Oryzias latipes: one gene and its partners. The protein of the gene in region 3 interacts with the protein of the main gene of each other region in a biochemical or structural test. Links are inferred from orthologs where the notes say so. Each region holds a gene or a part of one and is shown on either strand. Other genes may lie near its edges.

Region 1 (3,461 bases), on a different chromosome or scaffold from region 3:
TGTTTGATTCATTACATACGGACGTAGATGCATTTCTTTCTTAAGTGTTCTTAAGAAAAAGTCTTAACTATTTTTCAATGGAACGTCTGTAAATCTGCAGACACCCAGCAAACCTGTTCTTTGTACTTCTTCCTGCCAGTTTTCAACAAAAGGACTCAAATCGGGAGGGGAAGAACTCAGTCTTTCACAGAAGCCCATTCTCTGGGGACAGTCGAACCAGGACACTTTGCAGAGCCGAGCCTTAATGAATGGTCAAACGCTGAGGCCGGAACAGCAGGTTCATTAATGAGGCAGTGCAGCTATCGCTCATGCTGGCTCATGATCTCCTCTAGTCCTAAGACGCTGTCTTGTTTACAAAGGGCTTTTTTTTTTTTTGGACAAAAAATGCTTTTTCAATGCAGACACCAGCAGCACTGTTGGGCTGCTGCAGAGTTTGAGTCCGAGTTTCTGCTTGTGGCGGATGCAAACATGTATTTTAACTTTCCATTTTTGCGTCAGGACAGCGGTAACCGTGTTCGGTCAGGCGTGCTGCAGCTTTACTGCTCCTGTTGCCGTGTGACACAGAGCTGTACAAGACCCAGACAGGGGACACCTGATGTCATTTCCAACCAGCGAGGTGGCAAAACGGGTACACCGGTTTTTGACCATCTGCCACCGCGGATATAAATAGGGCCACAGTTGACAGACTCTCTTTGTACATTGCATCGGTTCAGGGATACACCAGTATCCCCTGCAGAGAAAAATAAATGAAGCGTGGCTTATTAGACTGTAAATATTGTTTGGTCTATTTCTCAACAATATGAGAGCATACAGGCGAATTTGATCCTCATTTTCAGGTTTATTCAGAAATGTTATTGTGTCGTTGTGATAATGTAGACTTTTGCTCTGACTCTGCAGGTTCATATATGAAACGGAGCACTTCAACGGTGTTGCTGAGCTACTGGAAATTCTGGGAAGGTAACAAACCCCATTGATTATTTGATTGATTGTTGCTTTTAAATCAGAGACACAAACCTGTGCAACTTTGAAAATCTGTGCATTTGCTGCTTTTCTTCAGATATAAACATTTTTTTTCTTTATTTTTTTACATTTATTATTTCTCATAATAAAACCATACAGCAAATATATAAGAGCATAGTCAAAAATGTATATAAAAAATTGTTGCATTTACTGTTAAGCTCAAAGGCTCTCATAATAACTGTGGCACTGTCTAGTCCAATCTATAAAAATAATCCCCATGTCTTAAGCAAGACTTCATCTTTGGGATGCAGTCGAAAGTCGAGGCAGAGTTCAACGTTTAACCATTGTGACCTGGAGGGAATTTATTAACCTTTGTGATTTTAGGCCAAACTTCAAATTATTAGAAGTTTTTTTTGACCAAATAAAACACTATTTTCCTCATTGGAACTTTGTTTTTATAGTTGCCACTTCCTCAATTTTTCAAAAAAAAAGTAAGGTTAGTGCATGGTTACTGCGTTCCCTCACTGTTGTTTTTTTGGAACAGCTTTAAAAACCCTTTTATAATATTTCCTTTTCATTGCTCGTTTAAAGCCCTGGTTTTCTCTGTGTGTTCTGTAACTTACAATCCTCTCTTGTCTGCTTGTTTCTAGTATCATCAATGGGTTTGCGTTGCCTCTGAAGGCTGAGCACAAGCAGTTCCTGATGAAGGTGCTCATCCCGCTGCATACAGCCAAGAGCCTGGCCCTTTTCCACGCACAGGTAGAAGCAGCTTTTCTTTTAATTTCTGTAACAGCACCAGATTGCTTTGCATCTTTATCTTGAAGTCTTTTAAGTCTGTTGTCTTGCACAAAGGATATGCATCGGTTCGATTATGCAGCTTTTTTAAGGAGAGTTTTATTTGAGGTCACAGTGAAAACTGATTTAAATATTTGCATAAATCCAACTGCATCCTTATAGGTTTCGTTTTTTTCTCTTTAATGTCCTTTTTCTTCTGTAAAACAGCCTTTGTTTACTTATTAATTTTGTCCTTTGTGCCGCTCAGCTGGCGTACTGCGTGGTCCAGTTCCTGGAGAAGGATCCCACGCTCACAGAGCCGGTACATCTTTTTTACCCTCCCTCCCACTCGATGCACAGAATCTCCAGCTCTGGATTAGTCTGCACCGCAGAAATGTTGTAGTGAATGATGGAAAAACCACCCACTCAAATAAATGCAGAATAGAAATCCCCTGCTTTTCGTTGCAGGTGATCCGGGGTTTGCTGAAGTACTGGCCCAAGACCTGCAGCCAGAAGGAGGTATTTAGCTCCTTTTCATGTGCACTCCCATATTTTTGCGACTGCTGTGAAAAATTATTTTCTTTTTATTATGTGTTGTAGGTGATGTTCCTGGGTGAAATCGAAGAGATTTTGGACGTCGTTGAACCAACCCAATTCAAAAAAGTCCAGGAGCCGTTGTTCAAACAGATTTCTAAGTGTGTGGCTAATGCACACTTTCAGGTACTCTCATTTTTTTTTGTTTTTTGGTTTTATTCAAACCTCAAATGCTTTACAAATTTGATCCCGTCTCTCCTGTCCTCACAGGTAGCAGAGCGCGCTCTGTACTTCTGGAACAATGACTACATTCTCAGCCTCATCGAGGAGAACATCGACAAGATTCTCCCCATCATGTTTGGCAGCCTGTATAGAATCTCTAAGGAGCACTGGAATCCGTATGTTCATCCATATAATACCCATAAAATGTTCAGAATTACAGCATTTTACTGCATAAATAAAAAAAGGAGAAAAACATTTCGAGAAGTCTGGCATCATCAGACACTCCTGGTTTATTTTGCCTGCAGGGAAATGTGTTGCTATATCTGCAAGAACTGCTAAGCCTGTGTTTACATGTACACACTGCCGACGAAATGGTGCCCCAGCACGGCTTGGCTCGGGTTGTTTAGTATGAATGTGTAAGGTGAAATAAAAAAACATTTTTCCATAAACTTTCTCCTTCGTTCAGGCATTTTCACCTTCTTTTTACCACTTTCTTAATAATTTTAGGTGAAAATGATCATGAATGACTAAAATTCGGAAGCTCTAGTATGTGCAAAAGTTGGATTTTAATGTTTTGATTTAATTAAAAAGAAAAATGACGACATTTAAAGAGTCCCTTTCTAAAAAATGTAAAAGTGTTTATTTGATCACACAAGTTTTTTCTTAAAAAAAAAACAGAATCTTGTAACTTCTTATTGATAATTATTTTAAAGTTAAGAATCTGACCAACTGTATCTGCTTCGTAAACATGTAGCTTAAAATTGCTAATAGGCCTTTAAAGTCCAGGAAAAAAATATACATTCTGATATCCAGCAGTCTGTAGTTTATCCTGGGAATTGCTTTCTAAAAGTAACATGCGTTTGGTTTAATCTGTGAATTAGGATTACAGAAGTTTTAAGGCTCTAAAACCCCTCACTGCACATTTTATACATTTTTTTTCAGACAGACATGAACATTTTTACACGTCTCTC
Region 2 (4,322 bases), on a different chromosome or scaffold from region 3:
AGGCATCACAGATTAGTAACTTCAAGGTTTGTGGTTTTTTTTAATTAGAAGATTCTGCATTTGAACTCACCTGCTGCACGTCAGTGAATCTATGCTGCTTGGTTTATGCAGGACAAGCTGATCAGCACCAGCATGCCGGTGTTTGACCTGATCGACTGCATCGTTCCCGGCGCTGTTAAATGGGACATGGTGAAGAAAGATGCCAGGGGAAAGATGAGCAATGAAGATAAACTCGACAATGCCAAGTAAGCGCTTACTCATTCGTTAATTTTGTTATGCTTTTTATGTTGTTTTTCTTCCCCTTAATCTTTTTACCTGACCTTTGTTTTTTGTTTTTTTGCTTTCCTCTCAGATACGCAATCTCATTAGCCCGAAAGATCGGAGCTCGAGTGTACGCTTTGCCTGATGATTTGGTGGAAGTAAATCCCAAGATGGTGATGACACTCTTTGCTTGTCTCATGGGGTATGGTTACAAAAAAACCACCAAGTGAAAAAACATTTTGAACAAAAAAAGGAAAAAAACATTTGTTTGCTAAAATCACCAGACATCAAGTGTTCCTCATCAGCAGCTTCACTAGACTATTCATGTTTTTTAATTTGCTGATCTCAGTTTTATTTGCTTTATGTCTGGTATTGCTGTACCACTGAAAAATGTCAGAAATCAGAAAAATAAACGCCCCCTTGTGATATATCCATGAATGTTGGGAACATTTACCTTGTTTTTCGTGTCTAAGTAGATTGAATTTTGTTTGTCGTATTGTTCTTTAGATGGTTAATTTCTTTTTTTGTTTTTTTGTTTACAACATGAATTTAAAACAGTTTTTGTAAGTCTATTTCTATTGAGTGTTGTTATTTAATTGGTGATTAAAATACAAAATAAAAATAATACACCTGTGTCCAGTGTCTCATTTGATGACATAATGATATTATGAGAATTAAGAACAAAAGTATTTAGGCAATGATTACATACAGAAAATACCAATTGTGTTGGTATTAATTTACACAGTTGTTTTTGAATGGCAGTCTGCTTTTATTTTTATATTTTTGTAACTTTTTTTAACAGGGAATATTAATGGTGTAGTCTTGAAATAACCCATTTCCTGGGTGTGCCAGTATTTTCAATCAGTCGTTGTGGTTCTGATACATTGGTAAAAATAGGTATGGGTGAGATATTTTAAAAGTTTGAGAGGAAAAAAAAAGCAAAAATTGACTCCAAAAGTTACTTTTCTGTTTCTTTACTAACTGTATTTAGGTTTAAAAAATTACCAGAAGTTTTAGATTTTTAGATTATCGACTTTTTGTTGTTTACAGAGTATTTAAATACTATGGTTGTCCTTTTACTCTTTGAAAAAAATATCATACTTTTGGAGCGGTTTCGTGAGAGTAAAACACTTTTTTTAAGACAAGCCTTTTCCGCTAGAGGGCGCCTTTCCCATTTAAAAACGTTTTCGTGTGTTTTGGACCTCGAGAGCTTCCGTATGAAAACAGAACACGTCATTTTGGAGCGAAAGTTTTGGAACGGGACTGGATGTGATGGGTGTCGCGTATTGCTTGTATTTTAACTTTTCTTAACGCGTGGGGCACCCATAAAAGTGGGCGCTAAGGACGTCAGAAATGGACGGACTTGAGATGTCCGCGATGATACCGGCTCTTCAGGAGCTAGCAAGGTGAGTCCTGCAAAAACTAAGATTAGCTAAAAGGCTAATCAATACCGGTAAAAAGACAAGTTCAAGTTGGCGACTGTATCTGCTGAAGCCACAAACGATGGTTTGTTTCAGTGCTGGCGCTGCTGAGTACGACCAGACGGTGCAGAAACCTCGACGCATCCTGTGTCAGTTCATAGACAGGATCCTGACCGATGTGGATGTCGGTAAGTCAACTTGAAAACTGCGAATAATATCAGATCTGACGCGTTGACACAAAAAAACCTCTAAAATCACTGATATAAATATGTATGCCATTCAGACTGAAATATGGTCGCTTTTGAAGTTTCTTTATTTTTTTGTAACTGCCATTGACTGTGTTCTTTTTAAAACAAAATTTCTAAGTTTAAAGAACAAACAGAATCCGATTATTAGGAAGAAATTAGGGGGGGAAACGAAGTTATACAGGAAAGGAAGTCAGATTATCCTGTTTACATCATGATGGTTAAAACTGTCAAAAATTTAGCTATTTAGTGTACTTGTTCATCATGGGGGGAAAAAGACACTTAAGAAGAGGTTGTTTTTTTTTAGAAATCTAACGAAAATGTGATGAAGGTTATACTTTTTACCAAAAAGCATTTTATTTTCCAAAATGTTTTTATTTCTGGCACTAACAATATGTGGTGCTAGTGAACGGTTGTTTGTTTTTTGGCATATCTTGATATTTTAAGCCTGAAGGGTCAATTCCTTTACCTCTAAGTGGTCAACAAAAAAGACTACATTTAAAACTCAGAAATAGTATTTATGTGACTTTTGTGTTCAATAATGTTTTATTTTTTTGAACTCATAGTAGTGGTTTAATAGTTTAGCAGTCATAAGATCAAAAATACTGGAAATAACTTTGTTGCATAGATTAAAGCCTCTTCATACTGGAGACGCCAACAGGTTGGGTTTTTTCTCAGAGATGCCTGTTGTTGCAAATGTGCAATTTATCTAAAATAATATTAATTTATGTACTATAGTCAAAATAACTGTTGCTTTAGCTTTTACTTGAATGCCAAAAAAAAAATTTTTTGTCATAATTGGAAATAAATTCATACATCAAGGGAATAAATGTGTATTCTTATACTGGAAAAATATATTATTTCTAATCAAAAATGATTGATCGGGAGTGTTTTCATCTGTAAAAGTAAATAAAAAAATATTGGTTGTCTCAATAAACACAAATACATGGAGCTTCCTGCCATTATCAGCCATTCTTCTTTATTAGGTTTGAAATCCGCTTAACGAAATATGCTATCATATACTTTTGATAAAATATATTTTGGAGATTGAAGCTGAGAAAATGTCTTTTCCCTTTTTTTACTACACTTTTTTAAGTTCACTCTGTTCTGTACAGATGTTCAGTCTGATTCGTTTGAAGAAACATTAAAAGTCTCTGTTGTTCCAGTTGCTTTAGGTCTAAGTAAGAAGTCCAGCTCGGAGCCGGCGTGCGTCATGCTGCTGGACTTTGTGCAGCATTTAGTCAAATCCTCTTCTTTGATGTTTGCAAACCCTGCTTGCCACCCTGCTGAATACCCAGACGCCACGCAAAGCTCTGTGGGTAAGAAATCCTTAAAACAACTAGCAAATTCTCAATAAAAGCATAATCAATAGTAACTTTTTTCTTTCCTGACTTGTTGATTTCAGACTTTAGTCGGTGGGTCGCTGCTCGCTTCCTTCGGGTGGCGGCAGCTCCGAGCTGTGATGTGATCCACGGACGCGTCTCTGCGGTGTTGTGCTCTTTACTTCACACTCTGAGGGTCAGGGTGCCTTTCATTTTCAGCCGCCTCACTCAGGAGCTCCTTTTTTTGGCCCGGGACCTCAGCGGCGTCCTGTATTCTCACATCAGTTTCCTGGCTGAGCGAGGACCCGGTCAGGGGATCCAGATGCAGAGCCGATGGCCCGTACTGCTGGAGCCCTTCCGCTTCCCGCCCACGTGCTCCTCCTCCTATCTCAGCTGTTCCTCCCTCGTACTCTCCTCGCCTGCTGCCTTAGAGTCCCTGACTGCTGCAACCCTCCACATCATAACTGACGTTCTGAGGGGGGTCATGTCTCGGCAGGACCTCGCGTTGGCCTGGGAGACGGCCTGTTTCATTTTGGCCAATGGCAACATCAGGCTAAAGAGGCTCTCCATGGTGATGTTGAGGGAACTGGTTGAGTGGAAGGGGTTTCCCGAAATGATGAGCCACGAATTCTTTATTGCCTTTTTCCATTTGCTGGAAACGCACTCCTACACGGAGAAGGAGGAACGGCCGTATGAAGGAGAACTCCTGAAGCTGATCAGCTGCGTGTTCCAGCCTCCTCAAGCTCCTCCCTCCCACTTTGAGCCCATGCATCTCACGCAGCTGTTTGAGTGCGTCTGTGCTCTTGGAGGAGGTCATGTCAGGTTAGGAGCAGAGGTTGCTGAATCTCTCTGCCTGCTCTTCAGCTTCTCTCTGTCTTCTGCTCCTGTTTGCGAGAGCACGGCACTGCTGAGGAAGCAGCGGGTCGCGGAGGTCTGCCGCACGCTGGCGCTGACCGTCGGGACCAACAATCAGGCGGAGGTATTCATTTACTGCTCAACTCCTGTTCTGTTGATTTGTTCCTTTCATAAAGAGTACCACAATACTAACAAAAGTCCAGACATCTTCATAACTG
Region 3 (3,997 bases):
CTCAGTGTGTTAAAGGAAAACGAGGGTTTGATTCCCAGAGTGGGTCCTTGGGTAAGGCCTTTCCTGCTACTGCCCAAGTATGCAGACACGACAGGGCCCAAGGCTGGGTCTCCCTGTGCCGGTCCCCAGCCCGGGTAAAATACAAGGTTGTGTCTTTAAGGCCATCCGGTGTAACAATCTCCACCTGTGTCTATGAAGACTCTCATTCATCCAGGTTGGTTCCATTGTAGTAGGTTTAGGGGATGTCATCTGGACTTGGTTTTTAAAGTTAGAAGACGTTTCGCCTCTTATCCAAGTCTCCACCTGTGCGGATCAGTGAAAGCTGATTCGCTGTGGCGACCCCTGAAGGGATGTGCAGAAAGGTGAACACCAAAAATGCAGAAGGGGAAACTGGGTATTCAAGACACATTAGACATCACAGAAGTACGCTGTGGGAAAAATAATTTAACTACAAGGAAACACAGTCCAGAGCTTTCACGTGCTTGTCCCAAGTCCGGACAAACGCAGGTGGATCTGCATGTGATCAGGAGACCAGATGAGAGGAAGCAGCTTCAAGCTGTTTCATCATGTTGGGATGGAAGGAGGACAGATCCTGGGGGAGGACTTCTAAGAAGGTTCTGGAGGTGAAGACTGGATCTGGAGATGTGATCATGTGTGTCACGTGTCAGATTCTGGGCAGCAGATAACCGACTGTCGGTTCCTGAACTTTCTCCTTCATAGTTACATCAGAAGCTAACTTCTGCGTGAAGATCAGTGACGTCACTGTTTCACGAGAACCCAAACCGTCAGAATCCGAGTTTAGATCAGAACCGGACCGAAGCTCTCACCGTCGGTGATGATCAAGGTCTTTCCGCGCCTCTGGCCGGACATGTCAGCCACAGGCAGCTCGGTTCGGTTCGGTTTGGTTCGGTCGGGTTAGCAGAGCCACACTGTCATGTCGCAAAAGCTGGTCCGGTTCAGACCCGGAAATCCCCCCTCCAACTCCACCGTCACGTGACTGATCTGTGACTCCTGACTGGCTGCGGGTGGCACGTGACGTCAGCTCGAAGAGTCCTGCAGAGGAGCTGCACCGCACGTGTCGTGTTTGGACAGGTTCGGTTCTTTTAAAACCCGGAAGAAGCAGCGGTGAGTGTGGCCCAGTACCGAGTGCTCGACCAGCTCCGTGTGTGGACGCGGTTGCAGCTGTGAACTGCTTGGGTTCCGGTTCCGGTTGTTTTTTCCCTGGAAAGCATGGGTCTTCCCGCGCAGAGTTCCACATGCAGATCTGGTCCAAAAGGTCCTGCTCAAGTGGGTTCTGTCTTGGTGAAAGGATAGAAGATACGGGAAGACTCAGAGGTTCTTTATCTGGTTCTGCAGGTCCACAATGTCCGCGGAGACGGCTGAGGTGGAGGGCACGTCCCAGACCCAGTCCACTATGTCCCCCTCTCAGGTGAGGTCTCAGTCCCAGTCTCAGCCAGGGTCCGGTTCGTCCAGCGGGCCCACTTCAGGCAGTCAGTCTTCCAGCGGGTCTGGGACTCTGAGCAGCGTGGACACCATTCCTGTCACACTCGCTTCTGTCCCGGAGGAGCAAGAACCAGAACCACAACCCTGGGGCCGCCTGCTGCCCATGGCCAAAGGCTTCAGGAGCCACGGTGATTCTCCAGCCGTCACCCCACAGAACGGTTCAGATGCTGTCTTTGATTCTAGACCTAACTGAGAACCTGGTCTGTGTTTGAGGGTTCCAGACTGCATTGCGGACCAGTACCTGTTTGGACGGGATTCCACATGTAACTACGTCCTGGATGACCCGGAAGAGAGGGGTTCCAGAAAGTTCAGAATCTACAGCAAGAAACACTTCAGGATCTTCAGAGTGAGAGCCGAGCTGCTGCGTACCAACCTGTCTGTCTTACCACAGACAGGTTGTCTCTCAATGATACCCGTCTGTCTCTCTGACCAAACACCCGTCTCTCTCTCTCTCTGACCAAACATCTGGCTGTCTCTTTGGTTAGCTGCACACCTGTCTATCTCCATTTAACCACACAGCAGTCTGTCTCTGTTTTATCTCACACCTGTCTATTTCCGTGTTTGACTGCACTGTCTGTTTCTTATCTGATCTCTGTCTGACCAAACACCTGTCTGTCTCTTTATATCAGTGTTTTTTAACCTTTTCTGAGCCACGGCACACTTTAACCTTAAAAAAAATCCCGCGGCACACCAGCATCCAAAAAAAAAAAAAAGGAGAAACTCGTAGTCTGTATTGATCTACAGCCCCTGCACAATCTCACATGCATTTTTGAGATAATTGTGGCAGAAAAAGCTGGAAACTGCAGCTGTTTTTTCTTAAAGATGCAATAAAAGTTAAGTTAGAAGATTTAAAAACAGTTTGATGTGTGTTCGTTGGTTTCAAGACGTTTAACAACAGATCTCCTTGTGCGCTGTCACTCTCACAAACCGATGCATCATGGGAGATGTAGTGCATAAAACGGCCGAAGATCGCTTTTCGGAGCTTCATTGTTTTGTTCACTTGTTCCACGGTCTGATACCGGATTCTGTGGAAAGCTACACCGCTAAAGACGAGCTTTAGCTGGTATTTTTGTTAGAACTGAGCGACTTTATGAGCTTAATCGGGACAAGGAAGTGAAGACTTTAAGCACTTCTGATTGGTCAGACTGATGACATGTGATTAAGCCCCCAGGAATTATTGGTGGATACAGTAAAGGGACGGGACTTTTCCAAAATACAGCCGAAGGTGCAGCTGAATTGCGTCATTCTTATCAAAATGTCTTTAATAAAATAAAATAAACGCAAAGAAAAAGTATTTTACGATCTTTTATATTCCTAACTCCTCAGTGTTTTATCAGGGCCTGTTTGGTTGAACACAGAGCTGAAATCCTGGAGATGGGAAATGTTTTTGATCAGTTAATGAGGGCAATTTCCCATGGCACACTTGACCATCTCCCACGGCACACTGGTGTGCTGCGGCACACTGGTCGAGAAACACTGCTCTATATGGTATCCACTTTTTTGTGTGATTGATCACACTCCTGTCTATATCTCTGTCTGACCGCACGCTTGTGTCTTTCTCTGTCTGATGGCACACCTGTGCATTTCTTAGTCTGGCTGCACACCTGTGTGTTTCTCTTCCTGGTCAAACACATGTATTTCTCTCTCCGACTACACCTGTGTGTTTCTGTGTCTGACACACAACTGTGTGTTTCTGTTTCTGACCATACACCTGTGTGTTTCTGACCGAATCTTTGTTTTTCTGTGTCTGACCACACACCTGTGTGTTTCTGTGTCTGACCACACACCTGTGTGTTTCTGTGTCTGACCGCCCACCTGTGTGTTTCTGTGTCTGACCGCCCACCTGTGTGTTTCTGTGTTTGACCGCACACCTGTTTGTTTCTGTGTCTGACCACACACCTGTGTGTTTCTGTGTGTGACCGCACACCTGTGTGTTTCTGTGTCTGACCGCACACCTGTGTGTTGCTGTGTCTGACCGAAGCTTTGTTTTTCTGTGTCTGACCACACACCTGTGGGTTTCTGTGTCTGACCGAAGCTTTGTTTTTCTGTGTCTGACCACACACCTGTGGGTTTCTGTGTCTGACCACACACCTGTGTGTTTCTGTGTCTGACCGCACACCTGTGTGTTTCTGTGTCTGACCGCACACCTGTGTGTTTCTGTGTCTGACCACACACCTGTGTATTTCTGTGTCTGACAGCACACCTGTGTGTTTCTTTGTCTGAACGCACACCTGTGCGGTTCTGTGTCTGACCACACACCTGTTTGTTTCTGTGTCGGACCACACACCTGTGTGTTTCTGTGTCGGACCACACACCTGTGTGTTTCTGTGTCTGACCAAACACCTGTGTGTTTCTGTGTCTGAACGCACACCTGTGTGTTTCTTTGTCTGAACGCCTCCCTGTGTGTATCTGTTTCTGACCACACACCTGTGAGTTTCTGTGTCAGACCACACACCTGTGTGTTTCTGTGTCTGACCACACACCTGTGTGTTTC
Region 4 (3,563 bases), on a different chromosome or scaffold from region 3:
AAGCTAAACGGTGATGAATTTTCCTTAGCATCAGGTGGGATTGCGTCCTGTCTATCTTTTTTCCTCAGAGTCTCCCGCTCCCACTCAGAACTCATGTGACAAGAGCTCTCTGCGGACCATGCTGGCTGCTATCGACTACCTGAGACATCAGCAGAGACCGCTTGATTCTAAGAGGTAAGCTGTAACACCGCACTCCTGCTCTCCTCACTCTTTGACTGTGGACACGCCACCTTCAGAGAATTTTTCCATCATGATGCTGCCACATTCCTCATGCACTTTGGTATAAACTGACAACATCTCTTGAAAGCTTTCTCTAGAAACATTTGAAAACCCTTAACCCCGTCACAGCTTGGTTCCTCTGACCCGAACATATCCTATCCTGATTCAATCCAAAAGTCTCTAGCATGTCGAATACGGAGATGGTTGTTGGTAGCACAGGATGAGCAAAGATGTCCAGACAGCTCTGCTTCTTGTAGCTTCTTTCAGCACCATGGCAAGTTTTGAGGTGTTGATGATGGAGTGAGGACCTGCTTTAGGGCCCCCAAAAAGATGGAAACTTCTAAAAACCTGCTTATTTGCAGCCCCTAACCTCCGCGACTACGGAGTGAAAACTGTACCAGCTCGACATAGTGAGGACGCTGGTGTCTTCAAACTGACGTACTGTCTTCATGAGGATGTCGTCTCCCCTCTGTCCAGGAACTCCGGTGGAACAGTGTGTGACTCAAACTTTTGGCTGGACTTGAACTACCTGGTTGTGGCCAAAGCTGCTCAGTCCTGCTTGGCGCACTTCACCGCTCTGCTCTACACAGAGATCTACGTTGACAAGATCAAAGCCAACATGGAGGAAACTTGCAGGTATGCTTGGAGGTTTGATTTTATTTTTTCTAACTCTCTTTTTTTTTTTTTTTTTATTTCTTGATCAAATGTGCAGAACCAAGTCCAGAGCATCACGCAAAATTAACTTTGAAGCGAACAGTCAGACCCTCACCATCTCCAGTCTGACGGAGAAGAGTGTGGAAGACGTCAGCATCAATCTGCAGGTGTGAAAGTTATTTATATTTCATCATTTATAAAAATGTGTCAAATCTGTAACAGAAATATCTTGTTTGATATATTTATTCTGTCAGAAATAAAGCTATCCAGCTGTGCAGTTTTGAGCCAGATTCCAACTCAGACGGGGAAAACAAAAACATACATGGATTTATTTGTCTAGACATTTGAATGAAGCAGAGCAGGGAGCTTGTGGTCCTACCAGCATATTTTCTATGCAATAAATAAACTCTGCTCCTGATTCACAACAATTTACCTAAAGAAAAACTCCTAAATGCAATTTTAAGGTCAATTTTTCTGTCCACAATCACCAGAAAAAGGCCCCTAAGAACATGTTAAAAACACCATTTTCATTGGAGTGGGTCTTTAATCGACTTAAATCTGTTTTATTTTTTTTTATTGTTTGTAGGAGCTGCTGATTGAAGTTTATCGCAGCATCGGCGACCCGGACAGTCTGTACGGCTGTGGAGGAGAGACGATGAACAGCCCGTTGATAAGGTAGAAGCCAAATATTGGCTGTATTTGCCGCATTGTTGATGTTTTATTTACAACTGTTCCACACAGGATTCGAACCTATGAACATGAGGCTTTGTGGGGAAAAGCTCTGACCTCATACGACCTTCACACCACTCTACCTGAGGTCACTCGACAAGTTGGAATTGTGGAGGTAAAATATATCAAAAGGAGCCTACACAGAATCTTTTCTCTTATTGTGAAATCCCTGTCATCCGGACGTCCCAAATGTCAAACAGGGCCTGCAGAACTTCGGTCTGAGCAACATCCTGGCCACTTACATGAGAGGTCTGGAGAGTGAGGGGGTGGAGTGGGGAGCTGAGCTGCGAGAACTTCGCTTCCAAGCTGCTTGGAGGAACAGCCAGTGGGACTGTGAGCTAGCAGAGAGGTAGGGGAGTGTACCTCTCACAGTGACATCTACTGTTCTTGTCTTGGTAACATGTTTGTCTAAATCTATTCCCCCATAACAGAAGTGAGAAATCCGTCCCTGGCTTTCATGAATCCATCTTTTGTTCTCTGCAAGCACTGAGGGACAAAGAGTTCTCCATGTTTGATGAAACGCTGAAACAGGCCCGGTATGGAAACGCCCTGCGGATGTCATGTTGTTGCTGGTAGCAGTGGCTTCCTACAGCTTGTGTGTCTGCCGCAGGCGTGCTGAAGTGGAGGAGCTCTGCAGGGACAGTCTAGAGGCCGTGTCTTCTCTGTATCCAGCCCTCAGAAACCTGCAGAGCATCAAGGAGCTGGAGAGTTTCAAGCAACTCTTCTCCAGGTCAGTTTGATTATGAAGCTCCTGTGATAACAGGAGTGAAAGGTGGCGCTGAACCGTCTGTTCCGTTTTGCACCAGGCCTTTCTCTGATCTGGCTCTGAGCAACATCTGCCGTCAGTGGCGTCAGCACTCCCATTTGCTAGCCGACAGCGACTTCGCTGTGGTGGAGCCCATACTGGCGGTGCGCTCTGTGGCTCAACACGCTCTCTTATCCAAATTGGGAAACTTGAACAGCACGAACCTCAGTTCTGCGCTCACGGACCATCTCATGGAGCTCTGCTGTTTGGCTCGGAAGGCCGGAAACACCCAGGTAGAAGCAAAACGTGCATCCTAACAGATTTCAAGCCAGAAAGGTTTCCTGCTAAAGGCTCGCTATTCTCCAGCTTGCAGAGCGTGCGGTCCACCAGATGAAGATACAGGGGGGAGCGGGGAGCTCGTGGCAGCTGCAGGAGGCCCAGGTTTCCTGGGCAAAGGGAGAGCAGGGTCTGGCTCTGGGCCAGCTGAGACAGATGATTCACAGTCTAGAGGACAAGGTCAAACATACATTTTCTAATGTAAAGCAGGAAAAATGCTCAGTTTAAACCTCAGAATTTAAAAAAATAATTCCAGGGGAATAAAAGAAGATAAACTTTGTTATCAAACTGTATGTGTTGGTCAGGTGGATTTTGACCCTGATGTGGTTCCTGCGTACACCGAGAGCCTCAGACTTTGTGGGAACTGGCTGGCTGAAACCTGTCTGGAAAGTCCTGGAGTTATCCTGGAAAAATACTTGGAGAGGGTAAGATGGAAAAAGAGGTTCTTCATACACTGGGCTTTGTTTTATCAAAATAGAGCAGTTTTCAGGCAAAAAAAAAAAAAAAAAACCAACAGTTTTCACACTAAATCCATATTCAAAAGTCTCTGTCCTTCTAGAACAGGGGTCGGGAACCTATGGCTCGCGAGCCATATATGGCTCTTTTGATGGTCACATGTGGCTCGCAGACAAATCTTTAATTATAGTTTTTTTTTCATTAGACCAGTCCTTCTCGGGCGCGATACGATGCCAGAGGCGCGCAGTAGTAGCAGTGCTTAGAGAGAGAAATCTGCGCCAGCGCTATCAGTTACTATTATCTATTATTTCACAGAGTTTGTACCAGCTGGAAACCTGTGAATTGACGTGCCTAAAACTACGCGCTCCCGTCTCTGAGAAAGAGCGCGCAGTAGCGGGGACGGGATGTGTGAGGAAGAAAGCAG

The links.
Region 1: the proteins of chek2 (region 3) and ppp2r5a form a complex in vitro, tested with the Homo sapiens proteins (2 studies listed by BioGRID and IntAct, with this or other methods). The link is inferred for Oryzias latipes from reciprocal best matches to the Homo sapiens genes CHEK2 and PPP2R5A.
Region 2: of the proteins of chek2 (region 3) and atr, one has a biochemical effect on the other in vitro, tested with the Homo sapiens proteins (2 studies listed by BioGRID). The link is inferred for Oryzias latipes from reciprocal best matches to the Homo sapiens genes CHEK2 and ATR.
Region 4: of the proteins of chek2 (region 3) and atm, one has a biochemical effect on the other in vitro, tested with the Homo sapiens proteins (6 studies listed by BioGRID, with this or other methods). The link is inferred for Oryzias latipes from reciprocal best matches to the Homo sapiens genes CHEK2 and ATM.

Annotation. Positions count from the first base shown.
Region 1 is NC_019882.2:6,251,906-6,255,366, reverse strand, and holds part of ppp2r5a (serine/threonine-protein phosphatase 2A 56 kDa regulatory subunit alpha isoform), read left to right. Parts: intron 1-897; coding exon 898-957; intron 958-1,610; coding exon 1,611-1,719; intron 1,720-2,002; coding exon 2,003-2,056; intron 2,057-2,202; coding exon 2,203-2,253; intron 2,254-2,334; coding exon 2,335-2,454; intron 2,455-2,538; coding exon 2,539-2,666; intron 2,667-3,461. UniProt on the Homo sapiens protein: The B regulatory subunit might modulate substrate selectivity and catalytic activity, and might also direct the localization of the catalytic enzyme to a particular subcellular compartment.
Region 2 is NC_019880.2:5,842,356-5,846,677, reverse strand, and holds the start of atr (serine/threonine-protein kinase ATR), read left to right. Parts: upstream 1-1,478; 5' UTR 1,479-1,614; coding exon 1,615-1,667; intron 1,668-1,778; coding exon 1,779-1,870; intron 1,871-3,093; coding exon 3,094-3,246; intron 3,247-3,332; coding exon 3,333-4,228; intron 4,229-4,322. Other genes in the region: plastin-1, read left to right, coding at 1-26, 112-245, 353-491. UniProt on the Homo sapiens protein: Serine/threonine protein kinase which activates checkpoint signaling upon genotoxic stresses such as ionizing radiation (IR), ultraviolet light (UV), or DNA replication stalling, thereby acting as a DNA damage sensor.
Region 3 is NC_019867.2:29,877,150-29,881,146, reverse strand, and holds the start of chek2 (serine/threonine-protein kinase Chk2), read left to right. Parts: upstream 1-1,142; 5' UTR 1,143-1,256; coding exon 1,257-1,276; intron 1,277-1,356; coding exon 1,357-1,631; intron 1,632-1,724; coding exon 1,725-1,849; intron 1,850-3,997. Other genes in the region: serologically defined colon cancer antigen 3 homolog, read right to left, coding at 828-870. UniProt on the Homo sapiens protein: Serine/threonine-protein kinase which is required for checkpoint-mediated cell cycle arrest, activation of DNA repair and apoptosis in response to the presence of DNA double-strand breaks.
Region 4 is NC_019871.2:24,894,359-24,897,921, forward strand, and holds part of atm (serine-protein kinase ATM), read left to right. Parts: intron 1-68; coding exon 69-174; intron 175-696; coding exon 697-855; intron 856-931; coding exon 932-1,040; intron 1,041-1,459; coding exon 1,460-1,548; intron 1,549-1,614; coding exon 1,615-1,717; intron 1,718-1,802; coding exon 1,803-1,951; intron 1,952-2,033; coding exon 2,034-2,138; intron 2,139-2,212; coding exon 2,213-2,332; intron 2,333-2,408; coding exon 2,409-2,640; intron 2,641-2,713; coding exon 2,714-2,863; intron 2,864-2,988; coding exon 2,989-3,108; intron 3,109-3,563.